2 linked regions of the Pelodiscus sinensis genome follow. The protein of the gene in region 1 purifies or fractionates together with the protein of each later gene. This does not show direct contact. Links are inferred from orthologs where the notes say so. Each region holds a gene or a part of one and is shown on either strand. Other genes may lie near its edges.

The links. Proteins that work in one complex are often made in the same cells at the same time.
Region 2: the proteins of NIPSNAP2 (region 1) and HADHA purify together in Homo sapiens (affinity purification with mass spectrometry; 3 studies listed by BioGRID and IntAct, with this or other methods). This does not show direct contact. The link is inferred for Pelodiscus sinensis from reciprocal best matches to the Homo sapiens genes NIPSNAP2 and HADHA.

The regions. Positions count from the first base shown.
Region 1 is NC_134731.1:20,285,307-20,295,166, reverse strand, and holds the start of NIPSNAP2 (protein NipSnap homolog 2), read left to right. Parts: upstream 1-5,044; 5' UTR 5,045-5,111; coding exon 5,112-5,209; intron 5,210-9,860. Other genes in the region: MRPS17 (small ribosomal subunit protein uS17m), read left to right, coding at 1,993-2,283. UniProt on the Homo sapiens protein: Protein involved in mitophagy by facilitating recruitment of the autophagy machinery required for clearance of damaged mitochondria.
Region 2 is NW_027465862.1:356,853-367,783, forward strand, and holds the start of HADHA (trifunctional enzyme subunit alpha, mitochondrial), read left to right. Parts: upstream 1-6,688; 5' UTR 6,689-6,755; coding exon 6,756-6,834; intron 6,835-8,825; exon of another isoform or gene 8,826-8,840; coding exon of another isoform or gene 8,841-8,883; intron 8,884-10,931. Other genes in the region: HADHB (trifunctional enzyme subunit beta, mitochondrial), read right to left, coding at 866-962, 2,153-2,194, 2,548-2,614. UniProt on the Homo sapiens protein: Mitochondrial trifunctional enzyme catalyzes the last three of the four reactions of the mitochondrial beta-oxidation pathway.

The DNA of each region.
Region 1 (9,860 bases):
TATTAAATGTATTTCCTTCAGTTATTCTGCTTAACACACATTTTGATCTGAGTTGGGTAGATGGACTGCTGATTTTGTGCTATGAATTTGAAAAGTCTTTTTAAAATATTTATAAGTTTCTGGGCTTTTGCTCCATTTTAAAAGGTGGAAGTTATAAAAAAAATTTTATAACGATAGTCAAATAATTGCCTACTATATCGATTTCCTGGTCACTTTGAATAATTAATTGAAGAAATATTCTTTAGCATTTGAATCACTGTATCAGTTGAACATCAGTCAGTGATACAGTAATCTCACTGTAAGATAAGCCTCCCTCAGTTATTATTAAAGACTAGAGTCAGGATTTTATTCAGTTCTGCATTTTATAAGATAAATGTGCTCATATGGAAGATATTGGTGCAACACTAATACCACAGTGGTAGGACTTCTGTGTATTGGAAGGGGCTTTTCTGAAATTTGGCCTGTCTACATGGGGCCAAATTTAGGAAAAAAGTCCTCTTTTGGAACATCCCTTATTCCTCTCACCAAGAGGAATATAGGGATGCCAAAAGAACGCACCTGCTTTTTCGGAAACTGTTCCAAAAAAGCAGATGCGTTCCCTGGACACATGCGTTCCCAGAGGTATCCCAGAAAAACTGCAGTCTAGACATAGCCTTACATACAGGAAGCCTTCACCATTTAGGATTTTGCTAACTGTGGTTTTGCATATTCAAGGTGCACTGCACCGCACCAGCGCTAGCACATGATGCAGTGTGATGACGCTTCTTCAGTGTACTCTAGTAAAGGAGCCTGAAAGTTAAAAGGGAAATGGAAGTTGCAGTGATACAGTACTAGGAAATTTTAGATATTACATGTGTTTATTAATTCATGATTATTGTTTTATGTGGAAATTGTGATTATTTTGTGTCATGAACTTCCCCCTGGTATTCACATGTTTGCCATTCGCTGTGATTTTAAGAACATATCCCCTGTGAATTAGGGGTGTTAAGATATGGTTAATAAAAATTCTATTGACTACTTGATTAGTCAGTAAGGGAAGACAGCCTTGCTTGTGCCGGGTCTGGGACCTACCCCCTCTTCATGGTAGGTCCTGGACCCAGCACAAGCCAGGACTGAGCCAGGCAGAGGTTCAAGGGGACAGGGGCTGCTGTCAGAGCAGCTTCTGTCTGCAGCCAGCCTGGGCCACGATGGACAGGGACTGCTTTTAAGTTGGCTTCTCCCAGCACCAGCTCCTGCTTCCCCCACTTGCTGCCTTTGATACTGAGGCAGTGGGGGGGGGGGGGGGGGGAAGGGTTGTGAGTGTTGACTAAACTAACCCATAAGCCTAAAATAGCCTAGAAAAGTCAAGTAACCCATAAGTGTTCATGACTGAGCCAAGCCCCAATGTGGGGGTGGGGGAAGTGTGTGTAGTCTATAACCAATTAACCAATAAACAAAAGCTTATAGGTTAATGGTAATCAACTACATTGTTACATTACATTATTAGTAGACTAGTTGACTACTCGCTTACATTCCTACTGTGAATGGTGAAGGCTTCCTGTAATTTCCTGAGCTCTTCCCCTCTACAGTTTGTGCAAATTATTAAGAGATTTGGAAGAGCCTTGACAGTCATTTTGCTGAATGTAATGCATGCAAGGGACTGAGATGATAAAACAGTGGTAACTAGCACTCAAAAGTAGTACTAAATCAGGGTTAGTGAATAATCAAAGTTGTTAAGGTAGCTATAAAGAACTGGCCCCAACTTGCCTTGATCTGACTTAGGACAAAAGTCCTATCTTGGGTGAAGAAGGGCTAATGTCACATTTGCCCAGTTCTTCAGGTGTACCATATACATTTACCAATGGCTTTGCTTGGGAAAAAACTCAGTGAGCTCAGCTATGCAGATCTATTGGCTTTGATAGTGAAACCTTCAATTCAATCAACTTAAGTTCAAAAGCAAAATGGTCATCTTACTTTTGAGTCTTAATGCCTGGATTTCCTTTTCTCCAACAGTTCTTTAACAAGCGAAAAACTTATTTCGCTCATGATCCATTGCAGCAGTGTGCAGTCGGAGACATTGTTCTTCTAAAAGCTTTGCCTGAGCGGAGGACCAAAAATGTGAAACATGAACTGGCTGAGATTGTTTTCAAGGTTGGAAATGTCATAGACCCAGTGACTGGAAAGGCCTGTGCAGGAACTAGGTTCCTGGAAAGTCTAACAGATTCAGAAAGTCTAACTGAGGCAGATACCACCTATCTAAGTGAAAAACTTCAAGAGCTAAATGTTTCCTCAACAGAGAAATGAAGGGTGGGAAGAGACCAGTAAACTAAGGGCTTTAACTTTCATCTTTACATGAGGGATTGGTTGTGGCCCACTGTCTCTATGTAAAATCTTTCTATGAATTTGTTAGAAACAATAAACTGTATTACTTCCACCATTGAAATGATATAGCTATTTTAATATTGTGGGAAATTATCAATTAGAAATAACTATGTTTTGAATTTTCTCCACATTAAGCCCTATGGTAGTGGTGGGTTTTTTTTTCTTTTTCTTAACACACAGTTTTGCCCCAGTTTTAGCAAGAATGTCAAAATTGCCACCTTAATCACAAAATTAAGAATAATGAAGAGTCCTATAGCACCTTGGACATATTTATTAGGGCATAAGATTTCATGGGTAAAACCCACTTCATCAGATGAACTGGAATGGAGTTAAAGATTTTACATATTGGAGTTAGTCTGTAAGGTGCCACAGGACTCAGTTGTTTTTGCAGATACAGACTTAACGTGGCTAAAATTGTTCTTTATTAAAATGTTTAAGAGGATAAATCTATATATGTTTAATATTTGTGGGAGCATGTTTTTTTCCCTCCTGTTTGACTGTCTGAATTCTGAACCTAAATCTGCTGTGGTTCATAGCCTTATATTTAAAATAACAAATTAAAAAGTGTTTTTAAAAAGTGTGTAGAAATTCTATAGGCAGCTGTTTATGCATGATATTTCATTTTAATATTTGTGATACTAGACTAACAGTAAGCCTACTAGAACATTTCATAAACCTTGTGTGTAATGTAATAGAATCTATGTGCATTTAAGCCACCTGTTATAAACTTTTATCTGCTTTTATCACAAGCCATGCTAAAGGAAGGGTTCCCATGTGAAACTGACACATGGCTACAGTGAAACAGTGGCATAGCTTGGCAAAGTCTGAAGGGACATAATCCAGCATCCCATGAGGTCAAAGAGGAATGGGAAGGAAATGAAAGTTTTTTTTTATTATTATTCACTTTTATGAGAGCTCTTAAATAATAGATGGGGTAACATCCATATTTGAGAAGGGGATGCGATTCTTCTCAATTCAGATATCTACATTTTCCCTTATGAAGCTGTGTGTCCAGCACAAACATAAGGATATATCTGTTTTACTGTGTCTAAGTATTGTTCTGCAAATAGGAAAAATTTAAAAACATGAATATTAGAAAAATCCCATGATGTAATGCAAAAGAGTTGAAGTAAAGTTGTCTGGAATATTAATTTCTTAAGAAAATGTAATTAGGGAAATCCTGCAAAGAGATGCAAGAACAGAGTCTCCAAAAGTTATAGCAAAAAGTATGTAGTTCAGAGTAGTTAAGGATTACACTTGCCTTTGTTGCCTGGATTCTGGGCAACTGCCACTATAGCACTGCATAAATTTAGAGTAGGTCTGGTGCTTGTGACATCCTCTCCCATCCCCAAAACACATGTTGTGCAAGGGATAGCGTAAGACCACATATGACACTCTTGCATAGAAGTCAGGCCCAGAGTTGGGGGAAGGAATCTGTTCCATCACTCACTGACTGTTCAAATGAGTATATGAGAGTACCTGCACTCATCACTTTGCAGGGTTAGGATTTCAGCCTGAACTTCTAGAGAATCAGTCTCCGTGGATGAGGTGCTACTGATAAAGCAAGACTTGGGAACAGCTCCTCCTCAGGAATATGAAATTATTTGTGCCTCTTTCTATTCTAGCACAGGTGGTTAAAGTCCTGCCTGTCTTAATTTATTTGCTTTCCTTCCCTGCAAGGAATACATTCACTTTATATTCAAGTTTACATGTGTCTCTCTGCAGTGTGTGTTAATTCCAAATCATCTTATACAGATGTCTTAACTTCACACTGAAGATATATTCCAATTCTGGTTCTCTTCTCCAGGAGGAAAAAAAAGAAATTGTCATTGACTACCAAGTCAAACCAATATTGTTTTGATCACTGAAAATGACAGTGAGTTTTGCCAGTTACTTCAGTATATTACTAGAACAAGTTTGTATGTTAATATCTGCACCTACAGGGTTTCCAACAGGAGCACACCAGGGAAAAAAAAGCATTCTAATTTCCAGTAAGTTGTTGGAGTGGTAACAAGTTACAGATAGATGTACACATATTTCATGTTCAGAGTTCTCACACATTCCATGAAAGGAACAACAGTGTAAAGAGCAGCCAACAATTACACTGTAAGCTTTCATAGTACACACAGTTGTGTTTTTTGTCTTACAGACTAGAGACCATGGTAACTAATGATAGCATGTAAAACCTTAGGCCCTGTGATTACAAACACATAAGCAGTTGAGCATAGGCAAAGTATTGCCCTTATTTTACAGAGGAGAAAACTAGCAAAGAAAGGTGAAAGGGCTTGCCAAGGCTGGCAGCTAGTAGTGGCAGAGCTGAGGGCAGCCCTGGGTCTCTATGCAGGTAAATATTTCTTCCCTGACACGTTGATGAGGACACAGAATTATTACCCTGTGAGGGGGAGAGAAAGAGACACACACTGGTAGCTTTATCCCCAAGAGAGGAAGACAGGCAGTGGCATCAGCCTCCAGGGACTTGCAGTGGGTGGGTTAAAATAGGTTTTAAGAGATGTGCAGGTGCAAATGGGGCTCCCCTCCGCCGCCTGACGGCGCAGGTGCCTGGCTCGTGGGATGTGGGCTGGACCCGCAGGCACGCGGGGGCCGAGCCCGGCAGCCAAGGGGTTAAGAGTCGGGTGGGAGGGGGCTGCTCCCCCTCGCAGTGCCAGGCCCCCTGGTGGCCGCCGGCGGGTACTGCAGGCTCGTCTCCTTCGCCCAGGCCGGGGCGCGCTGGACTGAGAGGCCGGAGCAAGATGGCGACCCGAGTGCTGCTGCGGCGGAGCCTGGGGGGAGCCGGCGGGCTGGGCAGGGCCGGGCCTCGCCTCCCGGCCCGCGGCGGCCTGGCCCTCAGGTGAGCGCGGCAGCCCCGGGGCCCGGCCCTCGCGGGCTGTAAGTGGAGCCGCGGGGGCGGGGGCGGGAAAGTCTCAGCCCCGAGTAAGCGCCCCTCGCCCGGGGTCTCCCTCAAGGTCATGGGCCTCGCCGCGCCCCCAGGGGCCGCCCGCGGGCAGCCCCCCCGCATTGTCCTCGTACCCCGCCCGCACTGGGGGCTCCCCCCGCAGCCTGCGTTCGACCCCCTGCAGCGCAGGCCTCCCGCCATCTGCGCCAGGGCCCCGCTGCCCCAACGCCCCCGGGGGACCCGCCCCGCTGAGCCCGGCTGGAATGGACCCGTGCAGCCTGGGTTATGTTGTACGTGCCCCAGCTTTCATGTGTGTTTAGAACAGGAATCAAAGCCTGTCGGCTGGATTGCAGTGACTGCTCCGTTCAGCATTTTCTCTTTCCGGGGAAACGCCATCAGGGCAGCTAGTTAGGATTTGTCCTAACATTGAATCTAGGTTGTGGACTAAAAGAAAACTTGGTGGATGGTAATATGTCCCTGTGTCTTGAATCCCATTTAAATCAATATTTTCAGCTGCCTGCTGTAGCACTGAGGTAGTATATGAGAACAGAAAGGTGAAATTGATTAGAAACTGATTAGTCTTTTATTATTTTTTAATATAAGGGTAATGCCAGAAGCAAAACAGTGAAAACTAAACTTTGCTTTTTAAAAATTTCAATTTTCCTTTCAGTAACAGGGTACCAATGATGCTTCCAAAATAAGGAAATGTGTTTTGTTGAATTGTTTTAAAGTAATAGTGTCCCATTGAAATCTTGGGCATCAATGATCTTTCTTTCTTTCTTTCTTTCTTTCTTTCTTTCTTTCTTTCTTTCTTTCTTTCTCTACAAGAGTCACTAACAGTTTGAAATATGTACACACATTGGCTGATCACTTTTTCTCTTTACAACCCAGTCTGGATGTACAATTGTATATAGAACAATTGTTTACGTAGCAGATGCAGTTGTAGGTCTAGTTCCTGCCAACACACACATGCGTTTCTCTAAGTACTCTAAATTTGTGGGATTGGGACCATAACCAGTAAAGTCAGGCTGTGCCTTAAAGAAAAGGATTGAAAATGATTCCGTGATAGGTTGCCTGTAATGCTGTGAGAAACATGGCTCCCAGAAAACCAAAAATATTATGCTGTTGGAAACCCCATATACCTATCCTTTATCTATGATGTAACATTTTCTTACCCTGTGTTACAATTTAGTTTTTACAATTTAGATACATTCCCAAACAGTAAGGGTCAGGCTGGAAATAAGGTATAAATGTTTTACCATTAGAGTAACAACTGGAACAATTTACTAAGGGTCATGGTGGATTCTTTATCACTGACAATTCTTAGATAGCAGCGAGGAGTCCTGTGGCACCTTAGAGACTAACTGAAGTGTAGGAGCATAAGCTTTTGTTGGCAAAGATCCACGAAAGCTTATGCTCCTACACTTCAGTTAGTCTCTAAGGTGCCACAGGACTCCTCGCCGCTTTTGCAGATTCAGACTAACACGGCTACCCCTCTAATTCTTAGATAAAAATTTGATGTTTTTCTACAAGAAATCTAGGAATTATTTTGAGAGAGTTCTGTGGCCTCTGTTATACAGGATCTCAGATTAGATCATCACAGTGGTCTTTTCTGGTCTTGGAATCTAAGAGTCTGTTAGTCCAGTGGTTCCCAATTGCCAGTCCGTAGACCAGTGGTTCCCAATTGCTGGTCCATGGACCAGCACAGGTGCCGGAGCAGCCATGGTGGCTGAGGCGGAACTGGAGGAGCCTCCCTTCCTCCTTCTTCCTCCCCCCTCCCTGCTTGGGGGGGAAGAGGGGGTACAAAGGAGGAGGGAGCATGTGCACAACCAGCGGCCGCTTCCCCTGCCTGCGCAGCTGCTTTTGCCAACTTTTGCTGGGGCTCAGGAGGCAGAACAGAGGGTGTCCCCCAACACCTTTGGTAATGGCAGCCGGCCAGAGCTCTGCACCCCCCTCCCCCCATTCTACCCATGGGGGCGCAAGGTGCACTTGGGGAGGGAGAGGGCGTGAAGGAGGAGGGAGAGCATGCACTGGCAACGGCCGCTCTCCCTGCCTACGCAGCAGTAATAGCAATGCTCGATAGGTGGGCATGGGGGCAAAGATCAAAGGGGTGTTGGGTGAGGGCATGGTGGTGTTACAAGGCAAGAGGGTATTGGCATGGGTTGTAGGGGTCAGAGGTTAAGGGATTAAAGGGTGTTAAGCACTGGGGAGCAAGGGGCTGGGTTGGAGATCAGTGGACAGGTAATATTTTATTTGCATATTCATTATTTGCATAATGAAAAAAGTTTGTGAATGGGTTTGCTGGTCTGCAGCATAAAAAAGGTTGGGAACCACTGTGTTAGACTGGAGTATTCTTCCAAATGAGATGTATAAAGCACTTAAGTTCTACTGTAGGGAATGTTTCTGAACTAATAAAAAGATTAGAGTAGAATAAAATGTTGCGAATGCTCCTTAGCAAGTGTATAGTAACACTTTATTAATCCATGTTCTTAAAGTTCTTTGAAGTTCTTGGATTAAAAGTATCATGCAATTGCAAAGTATTATTAAGGTCACCATTTCATTAAGAAATTAAGAGAAAACTATCTCCTTCTTTTATGTGGCAAACAACAAAGTTGTAAGTCTATCCTACTAGCAGAGAACTTGGTTATCCAATAGTATCCCATACCCATCATGTCTTTTCTGCTGTAGTGGTAATGTTCACAAATGAGAAAGTAAACATGATTACTGGGGACTTTCATTGTCAGAATGCTTTACAAACAGCTAACTCTCATGACACCTTTCAGGGAAGGTAAGTTCTTATCAGCCCCTATAGTAGATAGATAGATGGCCTGACTTACAGTGGTATTCTGAGCCTTTTTGCGTTGGCAATGGGATACAAAAGGATTACCGATCAACTACTTCAGAGGGTTAGCCGAGTTAGTCTGTAACAGGAAAAACTTAAAAAACAACAAATAGTCTAGTAGCACCTTAAAGACTAATAAAACATGTAGATGGTATCATGAGCTTTCGTGGGCACAATCCACTTCTTCAGATGACAGGTTAGCTCTGCCTGCCATGCAGTATTCCTGGCACAGAAGATCCTTGTAAATATTTTTGGTCAGTAGTATTCTGCTTAGTTTTCTGTGCAGTAGTGTGTTTGAATGGGGTCAGAGATAAGTAGTTTTCATGGAGTGGAACAGCGAGAGATTTTCTTTTTTGTGTGGAAGGTCACCTCATTCCCAGCTATCTTTTCTTAGCTGTCACATGGGTCTTCTGCCTCCTTCAGCATGTTGCTTGGTTATGCCAGGGGTTCTCAGACTTGTGATACCATGATCTCCCCCCCTCTCAGTTGCTCGCGACCCCCCTCCCCATTACTGCAACCAGCCTCTGAGTTGCTCGTGACCCCTGAGGGGTCGGGAACCACAGTTTGAGAAATGCTGGGTTAAGCAATATAAACCACCACAATATTTTATGCCCCAATATTATTTCTGGAATATTTTCAGTCTTTTGGGGACTTAAAAGATAATTTCACAGTTGGAAGTTGTAATCTCTCCTATGGCTTTCCTAGCCAATAACTAACATCCCCGAGAATAAAGTAATTTAAAGTCCTTCCACAATCTTCCAAGAAAAGGGGAGAAGCTTCAAGCAAATACTTCTAATGGGGATTGGGAAGAAGAAAAATACTATAAGATCCAGGCTACCTTTGTACATTATAAAAAAGAAGCATTAAACAATAGGCTCTTTTCAGGTTGCTGTTGCTTGCTGTTCATTTTAATACAAGATTTTTCATATTGGCGTAAATAAAGCTAGAGTATATCATATGGTAGCTTTGTGGTCTTTTCAACACTTAAAAAAACCCAAAACACTAATGTATTCTTTAAGAAAAACCATGTTGTCTATTGTGATTTTTATTGTAAGGACGTAGAAAATAGCAGTTTTGCAAAGGCATTTGCAGAAACTATTTGTTTAACAAGCTAGGCTTTCAGACAGTCTCTCAAAATCAACTCCGTTTCTAAGTGCAACAAACTGTTAATATTGAACAAAGAAAATGAATTTGAATCCTGGACATTATAATGGCTACTGTTCAAAAATTAAAATCTGTGCAAACTTTGTGACTCCTGCCATTCTAACCTATTCCCGAAGTAGAGTCGCCATAATTGCTATTTCTTCTCTTCCATGATGCTTGCCTAAACATGGGACCATGTATGGCATTTACTATGCCATTCACAGTAAATGAAGCAATATTTGCGCAGTCTTTACTTGTGTTCAATCACTAGCATATTCATTTTGACCACATTTCTGGGCAGATATAGATATTTTGCTTGAGTAAAAATAGTTTAAAAGAAAAAAACACATAGTGGCTTCTGTTCTCAGTCTTTACGGAGTCTAATCAATGCAGGAACAGAGCAGGAACATGAAAATGGCTTTATACCTCGCAGTGTTTTGTGGCTGACTTAAAGCCGACTGTTACACAGAGGTTGGCGGGGGTTGGGTCCCACCGCTCAGTTTATTAGTATCACCTTTACCCACAATAGAACACAACTGGTGTACCCCTCCCTTAGGTCTGCGCCCGTGCTGTTTCATCCAACCGAGCAGCCTTCAACTCCCTGCTTACATGCAGTGGACA
Region 2 (10,931 bases), on another chromosome or scaffold:
GCAGTCTCAACTCTAGGGAAGTATTAGAAACGGTCCCGATTCAGCTATGACGTTGAAGGCATTAAGTAACAGGTTTCTAACAAAATCATATGATGTCATTTACTCCTGCCAGGACGACCGGACTGTGCCTGGGTCTTGAACCCAGTTTTCAATCATAGGTGTAGTCACATGAATGGCATCTAAAGACATATCTGTTGGGCTGCATGTTGCTATGTACAGTGGCTCTATGTCAAGCCTGGAAAATCTAACCTCCCAACCCAGCCCAATATACACGCGATTTTCTCTGTTATCACTGGAAGGCAAAGAATACAAAGAAGAAAGAGAGGAAGCCCTAGCTCACCACTGCTGTATATAAGGTACCACATGGTCGCAGCTGCAGCCTTAGTTGATTGCAATCTTTTAGGCGAGTCTAACCCCTGACGAGACACTGGAGTCACAAGATATGTATTCTAACTCCTGGGGAAATCACATAACTCTAGAATGCCCAACTCCTTCATGCTTCTAATATGTAGCAGGGCTCGCAGATAGTTCTACCTGTGTAACAGAAACCCACAATCTTGTCAAGACTACAAACACAACCCAAGGAAGGGACCAGAACAAACCACCAAATCTAGAAACCCAGGGACAATCAGAAAAACAAGTTGTTTAGCTCCTTGCAGCTATTCCATTGGTTACATTTTCCTCTTATGCGTAAGAGTATCTACAATGTCAGGACAGCGAGCAAGCACACATCAGGCACAGAGCAAAGTGAGTGCAGCTAGAGAGGTACAACTATACCAAGCCCAACGGCTTCCGTTCAGATTCTACCTGTATCTTTCCACACAATTAACCAAAGCAAAGGGGTGTGATTTTTTTTCATACTTACGAGGTGCCAGATTGCAAAAATGGAATGCGGACCCCGTCCACCACCACGATATTCTTCACACCATTTTTGGCTAAGGTTTTCTTACTTTTGGGCTGGACTGTTTGAAGAGAATATGTAAACAGCTACTGACTAGAATCTGAGCAAGTCTGGAGCAAGATTTTATTTACAAAATAAATACTACTAGAATCAAAGAACACTACAGATCAGTGTTTCTTAAACTGTGTTTCCTGGCACACAGGTGTGCCGCGGAGAACAACAGAGTTCAAAATGGCCACTCTTAAAGGGGCAGGCAACCTTTTTTGTCCCCTCAACAACTTCCCCCCTCCCCCCCAAAAAATCCTTGGTGTGCCTCATAAAAAAATTGTTTGGTGTTTCTCGGTCTTAAAAAGTTTAAGAAACACTGCTATAGATGGAAGGGACCTCCAGAGGTCATCAAGTCCAGTCCCCTGCCCTCGTGGCAGGACCAAGCACTGTCTAGATACTGCACAGAGTGTCGACAACTGACACCTGAGGAGCACACAATGGCCCCTTGCCTGAGGAAAGAAACTGGTTTGTGGGTCATGTGATCAGCACATTTTGGGAGGCACCAGCATCCAGGAAAAGATTATAAAAATACCATGAGGGCGCCTCCATCTTGTCTTCAATCCTGCTCCTGATTCCAGAAGCACCTTTGCTATGAAGAGAGGGCCAGGAACTATTTGCTGACCTATCCTGACACAGGATGCACTCGGGACTTTTAAGCTGGCAGTTTGTTACATCTCTGCTAAGAGCCTGCATCAAAAACTTGGTGATCGATGTCTGAAATGTATTCTCCTTAATCTCACTATCAACCTTTTTTTTTTTTAATTAATAAACCTTTAGATTTTTAGATTCTAAGGGATTGGCATAGCAGGCTCTTTTGGGTAAAAGCCGAGGTATAAACTGACTGGGGACTGTGACTGGTTCTTTGGGACTTGGAGAACGTGTTCGGAGTTGCTGAGATTGGGTTTTATAACCTCTCGCCAGTATAAAGTGTGGGTCTGGTTGTGGCACAGGGAATACTGATGTGTCTAAGGGGGTTTGCTCATGGGGCTTCTTACTGGCCAGAGTGGCAGCTGAAGTGCTCTGTGTGACTGGTTTGGTGCCTTATAGGGAAGGACCCCAGTCTCGGCCTGTAAGTAGCCTTGGTTTTGAGCAATTCACCCTGCTTTGTCACTCTCAGTGGTACCCAGACCAACCTGTTATATTACAGCCTGGGCTAGGTATGAGGAGGCACCTAGCATTGAAGTTTTAGTGCATTCACTTTACCTGTGGCTTGGGACAGAGGCGAGCAACTGAAGGGTCTTGCTGCTAAAACACAAAACACAGAGTCAGAACAACTACTGAACAAAAAAGTTGCCTATAATACTTAAAAATGTGTAATAATAGTAAGAAAAATGTAGACAAGTAACCTATGGAAACTGCACATACAGAAAAAAATGTTGTATGCATTGCGTATAGCCAGTTTGTGGAGTTTTGCACAGCAACAAGGAAAAAAACACTTTAAAACAGGAAAAGTGGTCATAAAAATCATAAAATGGCAAGGAGACTTGGGTGCCGGTGGCACCCATGAATCTACTTCTAACCTCTTTTTTAAAAACAGCAAAATGACAGCGTTCTTTTACATGGCATTGACTTAATTTTTTAACAAGAACAACACTTACAGAATCTGAAAGCCCACGCAGAGGTAGCAGGGAGGCGTCTGATAGCACGGCTCAACATGGAAGTCATTTTGAAATCTAGAATAGTGCAGGAGAGGAAGGACAGCAATTAACTTGTTCAGAGGTTTCAGAATGGGCAAGCTAGCCAGTCCACATGCAGCCAAAGGCAATGGAGATAGAGAAGACCCATCAAGGTCAACCCAGTATCCACTGGGGGAGGGACTTTTTGTGGTGTTTGAGCTGTGCCTAACACTGGAGCTTTAGGCCTGACTAATACAAGTAAATAGTGACTCATTCCTCTTCTAGGATCAGGGCTGTTCAGTATGTTCCAAGGGGTCCTGGACAGACACATTTTAAAATGCCCCCCCACAGACGCCACAACAGCTGGAACTTGCTGTGGGGTTGTTCCTGCTGGCACCCAGCCTTTACTCAAGCTCATCTCTGTCCCGATCAGTCACCCACCACAGGCGCCAGCCGACCTGGGGAACCACCCCGGGATTCAATAGATGCAAGTGCCTGGGCCAGCAGGGATCTCTGCCCCCTGAGCCCTCCTGGGGATCAGCTCCAGGGTGAGAGCACAGGCCACCCCTGCCCACAGCTTCACCCAGCCCCTTACAGCCCCTAGGCTCACCTCTCCTGCAGCCAGGCCCCGCCTCATTCAGCCCCCCCACAGCCCTGCCCCTCCTGCAGCCAGGTCCCGCCTCCTTCAACCCTCTGCCCCTCCTGCAGCTAGGCCCCACCTCCTTCAGCCCTCTGCCCCTCACAGCCCTACCACTCCTACAGCCAGGCCCCGCCTCCTTCAGCCCCCCCACAGCCCTGCCCCTCCTGCAGCCAGGTCCCGCCTCCTTCAACCCTCTGCCCCTCACAGCCCTGCCCCTCCTACAGCCAGGCCCCGCCTCCTTCAGCCCCCAGCAGCCCTACCCCTCCTGCAGCCAGGCCCCACCTCCTTCAGCCCCTCACAGCCCTACCCCTCCTGCAGCCAGGCCCCGCCTCCTTCAGCCCCCCCACAGCCCTGCCCCTCCTGCAGCCAGGTCCCGCCTCCTTCAACCCTCTGCCCCTCACAGCGCTGCCCCTCCTACAGCCAGGCCCCGCCTCCTTCAGCCCCCAGCAGCCCTACCCCTCCTGCAGCCAGGCCCCACCTCCTTCAGCCCCTCACAGCCCTACCCCTCCTGCAGCCAGGCCCCGCCTCCTTCAGCCCCCTGCCTCTCAGAGCTCCACCCCTCCTACTGCCAGGCCCCACCTCCTTCAGCCCTCTACCCCTCACAGCCCTACCCCTCCTGCAGCCAGGCCCCACCTCCTTCACCCCTCTGCCGCTCACAGCCCTACCCCTCCTGCAGCCAGGCCCGCCTCCTTCAGCCCCCTACCCCTCACAGCCCTGCCCCTTCTGCAGCCAGGCCCCGCCTCCTTCAGCCCCCCCCACAGCCCTGCCCCTCCTGCAGCCAGGTCCCGCCTCCTTTAACCCTCTGCCCCTCCTGCAGCTAGGCCCCACCTCCTTCAGCCCTCTGCCCCTCACAGCCCTACCCCTCCTGCAGCCAGGTCCCGCCTCCTTCAACCCTCTGCCCCTCACAGCCCTGCCCCTCCTACAGCCAGGCCCCGCCTCCTTCAGCCCCCAGCAGCCCTACCCCTCCTGCAGCCAGGCCCCACCTCCTTCAGCCCCTCACAGCCCTACCCCTCCTGCAGCCAGGCCCCGCCTCCTTCAGCCCCCTACCCCTCACAGCCCCGCCCCTTCTGTAGCCAGGCCCCGCCTCCTTCAGCCCCCTACCCCTCACAGCCCCGCCCCTCCTACAGCCAGGCCCCGCCTCCTTCAGCCCCCTACCCCTCACAGCCCCGCCCCTCCTACAGCCAGGCCCCGCCTCCTTCAGCCCCCTGCCCCTCACAGCCCTGCCCCTCCTACAGCCAGGCCCCGCCTCCTTCAGCCCCCTACCCCTCACAGCCCCGCCCCTTCTGCAGCCAGGCCCCGCCTCCTTCAGCCCCCTACCCCTCACAGCCCCGCCCCTTCTGCAGCCAGGCCCCGCCTCCTTCAGCCCCCTACCCCTCACAGCCCCGCCCCTTCTGCAGCCAGGCCCCGCCTCCTTCGGCCCCCTGCCCCTCACAGCCCCGCCCCTCCTGCAGCCAGGCCCCGCCTCCTTCAGCCCCCTACCCCTCACAGCCCCGCCCCTCCTGCAGCCAGGCCCCGCCTCCTTCAGCCCCCTGCCCCTCACAGCCCCGCCCCTCCTGCAGCCAGGCCCCGCCTCCTTCAGCCCCCTGCCCCTCACAGCCCCGCCCCTCCTGCAGCCAGGCCCCGCCTCCTTCGGCCCCCTACCCCTCACAGCCCTGCCCCTTCTGCAGCCAGGCCCCGCCTCCTTCAGCCCCCCCCACAGCCCTGCCCCTCCTGCAGCCAGGCCCCGCCTCCTTCAGCCCCCTGCCCCTCACAGCCCTGCCCCTCCTGCAGCCAGGCCCCGCCTCCTTCAGCCCCCTGCCCCTCACAGCCCTGCCCCTCCTACAGCCAGGCCCCGCCTCCTTCAACCCCCTACCCCTCACAGCCCCGCCCCTCCTGCAGCCAGGCCCCGCCTCCTTCAGCCCCCTGCCCCTCACAGCCCTGCCCCTCCTGCAGCCAGGCCCCGCCTCCTTCAGCCCCCTGCCCCTCACAGCCCTGCCCCTCCTGCAGCCAGGCCCCGCCTCCTTCAGCCCCCTACCCCTCACAGCCCCGCCCCTCCTGCAGCCAGGCCCCGCCTCCTTCAGCCCCCTGCCCCTCACAGCCCCGCCCCTCCTGCAGCCAGGCCCCGCCTCCTTCAGCCCCCTGCCCCTCACAGCCCCGCCCCTCCTGCAGCCAGGCCCCGCCTCCTTCAACCCCCTACCCCTCACAGCCCCGCCCCTCCTGCAGCCAGGCCCCGCCTCCTTCAGCCCCCTGCCCCTCACAGCCCCGCCCCTCCTGCAGCCAGGCCCCGCCTCCTTCAGCCCCCTGCCCCTCACAGCCCCGCCCCTCCTGCAGCCAGGCCCCGCCTCCTTCGGCCCCCTACCCCTCACAGCCCTGCCCCTTCTGCAGCCAGGCCCCGCCTCCTTCAGCCCCCCCCACAGCCCTGCCCCTCCTGCAGCCAGGCCCCGCCTCCTTCAGCCCCCTGCCCCTCACAGCCCTGCCCCTCCTGCAGCCAGGCCCCGCCTCCTTCAGCCCCCTGCCCCTCACAGCCCCGCCCCTCCTGCAGCCAGGCCCCGCCTCCTTCAGCCCCCTGCCCCCCACAGCCCTGCCCCTCCTACAGCCAGGCCCCGCCTCCTTCAACCCCCTACCCCTCACAGCCCCGCCCCTCCTGCAGCCAGGCCCCGCCTCCTTCAGCCCCCTGCCCCTCACAGCCCCGCCCCTCCTGCAGCCAGGCCCCGCCTCCTTCAGCCCCCTGCCCCTCACAGCCCCGCCCCTTCTGCAGCCAGGCCCCGCCTCCTTCAACCCCCTGCCCCTCACAGCCCTGCCCCTCCTGCAGCCAGGCCCCGCCTCCTTCAGCCCCCTGCCCCTCACAGCCCCGCCCCTTCTGCAGCCAGGCCCCGCCTCCTTCAACCCCCTGCCCCTCACAGCCCTGCCCCTCCTGCAGCCAGGCCCCGCCTCCTTCAGCCCCCTGCCCCTCACAGCCCCGCCCCTCCTGCAGCCAGGCCCCGCCTCCTTCAGCCCCCTGCCCCTCACAGCCCCGCCCCTCCTGCAGCCAGGCCCCGCCTCCTTCAACCCCCTACCCCTCACAGCCCCGCCCCTCCTGCAGCCAGGCCCCGCCTCCTTCAGCCCCCTGCCCCTCACAGCCCCGCCCCTCCTGCAGCCAGGCCCCGCCTCCTTCAGCCCCCTGCCCCTCACAGCCCTGCCCCTCCTGCAGCCAGGCCCCGCCTCCTTCAGCCCCCCCCCCACGTAGTCCCCCGTCCCCGGCAGCGCCTCCCCCTCCAGCCACCTGCAGCGATCCCCTCCCCCACGCGGGGCGGGGCGGGGCCACGCGCCAGGGACCCGCAGGGCTCGCGCCGCGGCCGTTACCGTCGCTACGCGGTGGCGGCCCCGCTCGCTGCCCTGGGCGGTGCCTGCCTCAGGAAAGCCCCCGCCGGCCCTGCCGTAGCTGCCCTCGCCGGTGCCTGAAGGCAGCCCGCCCCGCGCCGCGCCTGGGCTGGGCGAGCCAATCAGGCAGCGCCGCGGGCAGCCCTGGGGGGTGCGAAGGCCCCGCGCCTCAAGGACCCGCCCCGCCGCCGCTTCGACCTCCCCGAGCAAGATGGCGGCCGCGGTGCGCGCGATCGGGAGCCTCACGCGCTTCACGGCCGCCGCCAAGTACTGCGCGGCCCGCCGCCTCGGTGAGGGGCTGGGCCGGGGGGGGGGGCGCGCTGCCGAGCCCCGCCCCGCCCCGGCTCGCCGTGCTGCGCTCCCCGCCGAGTGCCTGTCTGGGGCCGCCGGCCGGGCGGGGCTGGCAGCAGGAGCCCGGGGAGCTCAGCGCGGGGCCTGGCCACACGCAGCAGCCCGGCCCGCCAGCAGTCGGGTCACAGGGGTTCTGGCTCTGCCGCGGCCCTGGCTCCCGGCTCCCGGACCCCGGCCCCCCCGGCCCCCCCGGCTCCCGGCCCCCCCGGCTCCCCCGGCTCCCGGCCCCCCCGGCTCCCGGCCACCCTGGCCCCCCCGGCCCCCAGCATCCCCGGCCGCCCCGGCCCCCCCGGCTCCCGGCCCCCCCGGCCACCCCGGCCCCCCCGGCCCCCGGCCACCCTGGCTCCCGGCCGCCCCGGCCACCCTGGCCCCCAGCCACCCTGGCTCCCGGCACACGCCTGCTGCGGCAACAAGCTCTCCCCAGGCGGCTATCCCACCTCCCCCAAACCCCTGGCCTGGGGCTCTCAGGTTGTGCTGCTGCTCCCTGTTCATTTCCCGGGGCGGGTGATGAATGTTAGTGACTAGCGGAGATCATTTGCAGTTAATGGATTTGATGCGGGAAGGTGGCTGTGGCAGTGTGCTCGTAGAGCTCTCCCAGTGCTCTAGATGAACAGCCTCTATGCTTGGGGCATAGTTCCCAGTGCTGGGAGCCTGTTTACACCCACACTTCACAGCGCTGTAACTTGCTGTGCTCGGGAGATGCTTTGTCACACCCCTGAACAAGAAAGTTACAGCTCAGTGACCTGACAGCCTGGTAGCACAGCAGTATAGACAAGCCGTTAGTCTGACTGCTTTCAGTCAAGTCACAGGAATGATTTGACATCTGATCAGAGTTTGTTGGTTTGTGGAATTAAGTGGGCTCTTAATTCAGTGACCCAGTCCTTCTCCTGCAGTTGTCATTCGTCTGGTCCTTTCTTTTTCTGCTCAGCAGAGGTGCCCCAGGCACTGAGCTCCCCATATTCCTGCGGTGAGGGTTTCCTTCTGCGAATGCACAGCTAGAGAGCTGGGTTCTCCTCTGAATTTACACTTGTAACTGTCAGAATGATACACGATTGTACACACCATGGTAAGAACATAAGAATGGCTGTACTGGGTCAGACCAAAGGTCCATCTAGCCCACTAGCCTGGTGTCTGTAGTTCCTTGTTTTCAGGATTCGCACTAGGGATATAATAGTGCAGTTGATTAACTGATTATCTGATAAGCAAAAGCTTATAAGTTAATGCCATAGACTACACGCATTTCCTTCCCCTCACCAGGCAGGGGCTGCTGCCACCCTGCGCTGTTGCCTCTGTATCAGAGGCAGGAACACAGGGCGACAGGCTGGTTTTTAAACTGGCTCTCCTCGTGGACCGGCTCCCCCCGACACCCCACGTAGAGTGGCAGGGGGACTCCTCAGGAGTGGGGCTGAAGTGCACTGGCTTCCAGCCCTGCCCCCTAGGGACTCTAGAATAGTCGGCTAACTGATAAGGATTCATGAGGTTACTCAACTATTCAATTAACCAATATTGAACACCCTCACTTTGGCTGACAGTGCCCTCCCTTGAAAGTATGTGTTGGTTGGACCCCCAGTTCCTCAGAGTTGATAGCAGTCTGCCTGGAATAGTCTTTTGTTCTTCATGCCCCTGAATCAGTGTTTGGCAAACTTTGGGGTGGTTTTTTTGCGGGGGGGATGGGCAAGTACTTGCAGTGGCAGGGCAAAAACTGAGGCCAAGAGCAGCGCATATGAGGAAAGTTCCATGGTTTTGGGGCCACCCCTGTTGCACACATTCCCACAGCTGCTAGTAAAACAGGCACCGATTGAAAGTCTGTCTTGCACCACTTGCAGCTCCTTGTTCAGCTCACAGGTGTAGGGAGGAAACATGGGCCATCCCAAGCATTTCTTTTCTGCTCCCTTGATGTTCAGCTTAGTTCCAGATCACGAGCCCTGGCACTACGGAGCCACCTATGGATGCTGCTGTTCCCACCTCAAGCAGCATGCAGTCTCCTGGTGAGTCAGGGAGCAGGGAGAGGAGCACAGAAAGAGACCAAGAGTGGAGAAAATGGGGCAGCTGTGTCATGGTGTGGGGGAGTGTCCTCCCTCGGCACACCAGCCAACATTGGGAGCCGCTCCCCTCAGCGAAAGTTCTGTGAGCTAAACACTGGCCTAATAATACTTTGCCCTTATAGTGCTTTCTGCCTAGTGGTTTTCAAGGTGGGCAACTTCCCTGCCTCCATCTCCCATCTATAAACATCCAGTTCTGTTCTGCAAAATAATAGCGCCACATAGTTCCTGTTGATCATTTTACAAGTGAGTGAGTATTTCTTCTGGTCTCTAAGTGCCTAAGTCCAGCTGGGGGTGTTCCTCTGCATTCATTCTCACCAGGAGTAGTTTTGATTAAATTTTGTCTTCAGTAACTCGTGCATCCCCCTTTGTGATGCTTAAATTCATTAATGTCTGTCACATTTTTGGTAACCAATAATGGAAAGCGCTAGAGAAGTGCAAAGTATCACAGAGGCTGTAATCAGTTACCTTCCAAAATTAGTTTATTGTAAAAACAAGCTATTGCAAAACCCAGTGAGTAAATATTTAATTATTCTTTTTTAAAGACTTGAAACAGTTTTTAACCCTTTTCCCCTGCAGTGTTGGAAATCTATTTAAAAGTGGAATTTACTACAATCTATCAACAGAAATGAAACTGACTAATCTCTTTTCATTGCCCTATAAAACATAAGTCATGAACAGTAAATCTCGTTTAAGTCTTTTAGTTCCAGTATAATGGTGAAAACCATAAGGCGGCCTGCTGGTGTTCTGTTTAAAAAGTACGAGAGGGTTTTTTCTGTAATCTTCATTTGTAGAAATTCATGCTGCTAGTTGTACATGATTGGCTCCTGAAAGTAGCAGTGCTATTATTGTAAACTGCCTCTAAGCCACTTTGTATTGTCGCTGTGTTTTGAGCCTGGTTATTGTTTTCCAAGCCTGCTCTGGCCTGTGCAACTTGATAAAGCCAAATTTTCCAGGATAACGTGCATCAAAAGTATGTCACTCCTTTTGCATATTTATTTCTAGGCTGCCAAAACGTTTAAGTGTCTTGGGAGAACAGCAGTGACAAGGTCCCTGACCCAGAGTTGCAATCTAAATAGTGTGCAGGCAGGGGCAGCTCGTGAGCCTAGGCGAGCTAGGCAGCTGCCTAGGGCGCCGCTGGCCCGGGTGTCCGATGATGACATCACGGCCATTGACGGCTGTATAGGCGGGGCGCCAATCGCGCCGCCCCGCCTAGGGCGCCAGCTGCTGCAGTCGGCCTCAGGCCGCTCCTGTGTGCAGGCAAAGGAAGGGGGAGGGTTAGCACGTTTTGTCCCAGGTTATTAGCACCCTTTTTAGCTTTGTGCACGGTTCATCTGTTTTCTTGAAAGTGGTTGTAGAGACCAGGATTTATAGGACTTCCCAGAAAGTCTTTAAGGAGAACTTAAGAAAAAAAAGCTTGTTAGACCATGGAACTTGGGGTGGGGTGTGTGTGTGTGAATGTAGCCCATGAGTTACTTGCATAACTTCATGAAATAAGAGTCTGTATCTTTCAGAAGGTAGGCCTGTTCGGTGAAGTCTGGAGTATTGTTGGCATATGCACAGGGCTCGACGAATCACTGAATCTACTCGCCTGTGGCGAGTAGATTTCAGCCAGTCGCAGCATTCACCGGCGGCGCGCACATGCGCAATGCGGGTCTTGCTCATGCACAGTGCAGGGCTGGCGAGTAGGTTTTGCCGCCGTTTGTCAAGCCCTGCAAATGCAAATCCTTTTTCTACATCTAAAAGCACAGCTGTTAGTGACTTGTGCCGCACTCCCCAGACTTCGCTATACTCTGCCTGTGACTGCAGGGGCGGGCAGAGTTGGGGAAGCTACCAGTGGTGGTCTTGTAATTTAGTCTCAGCTATTCATCTCCTGCACTGTGATGTGCTGTTTTACTCCAAAGGACAAGCTGGATCACCTTATTCCTGGCCTCCAGACTTAATTGCTGCAGCAGTTGCGGGGGTGCTGGCAATGCGAGCACTGTATTTTGTGG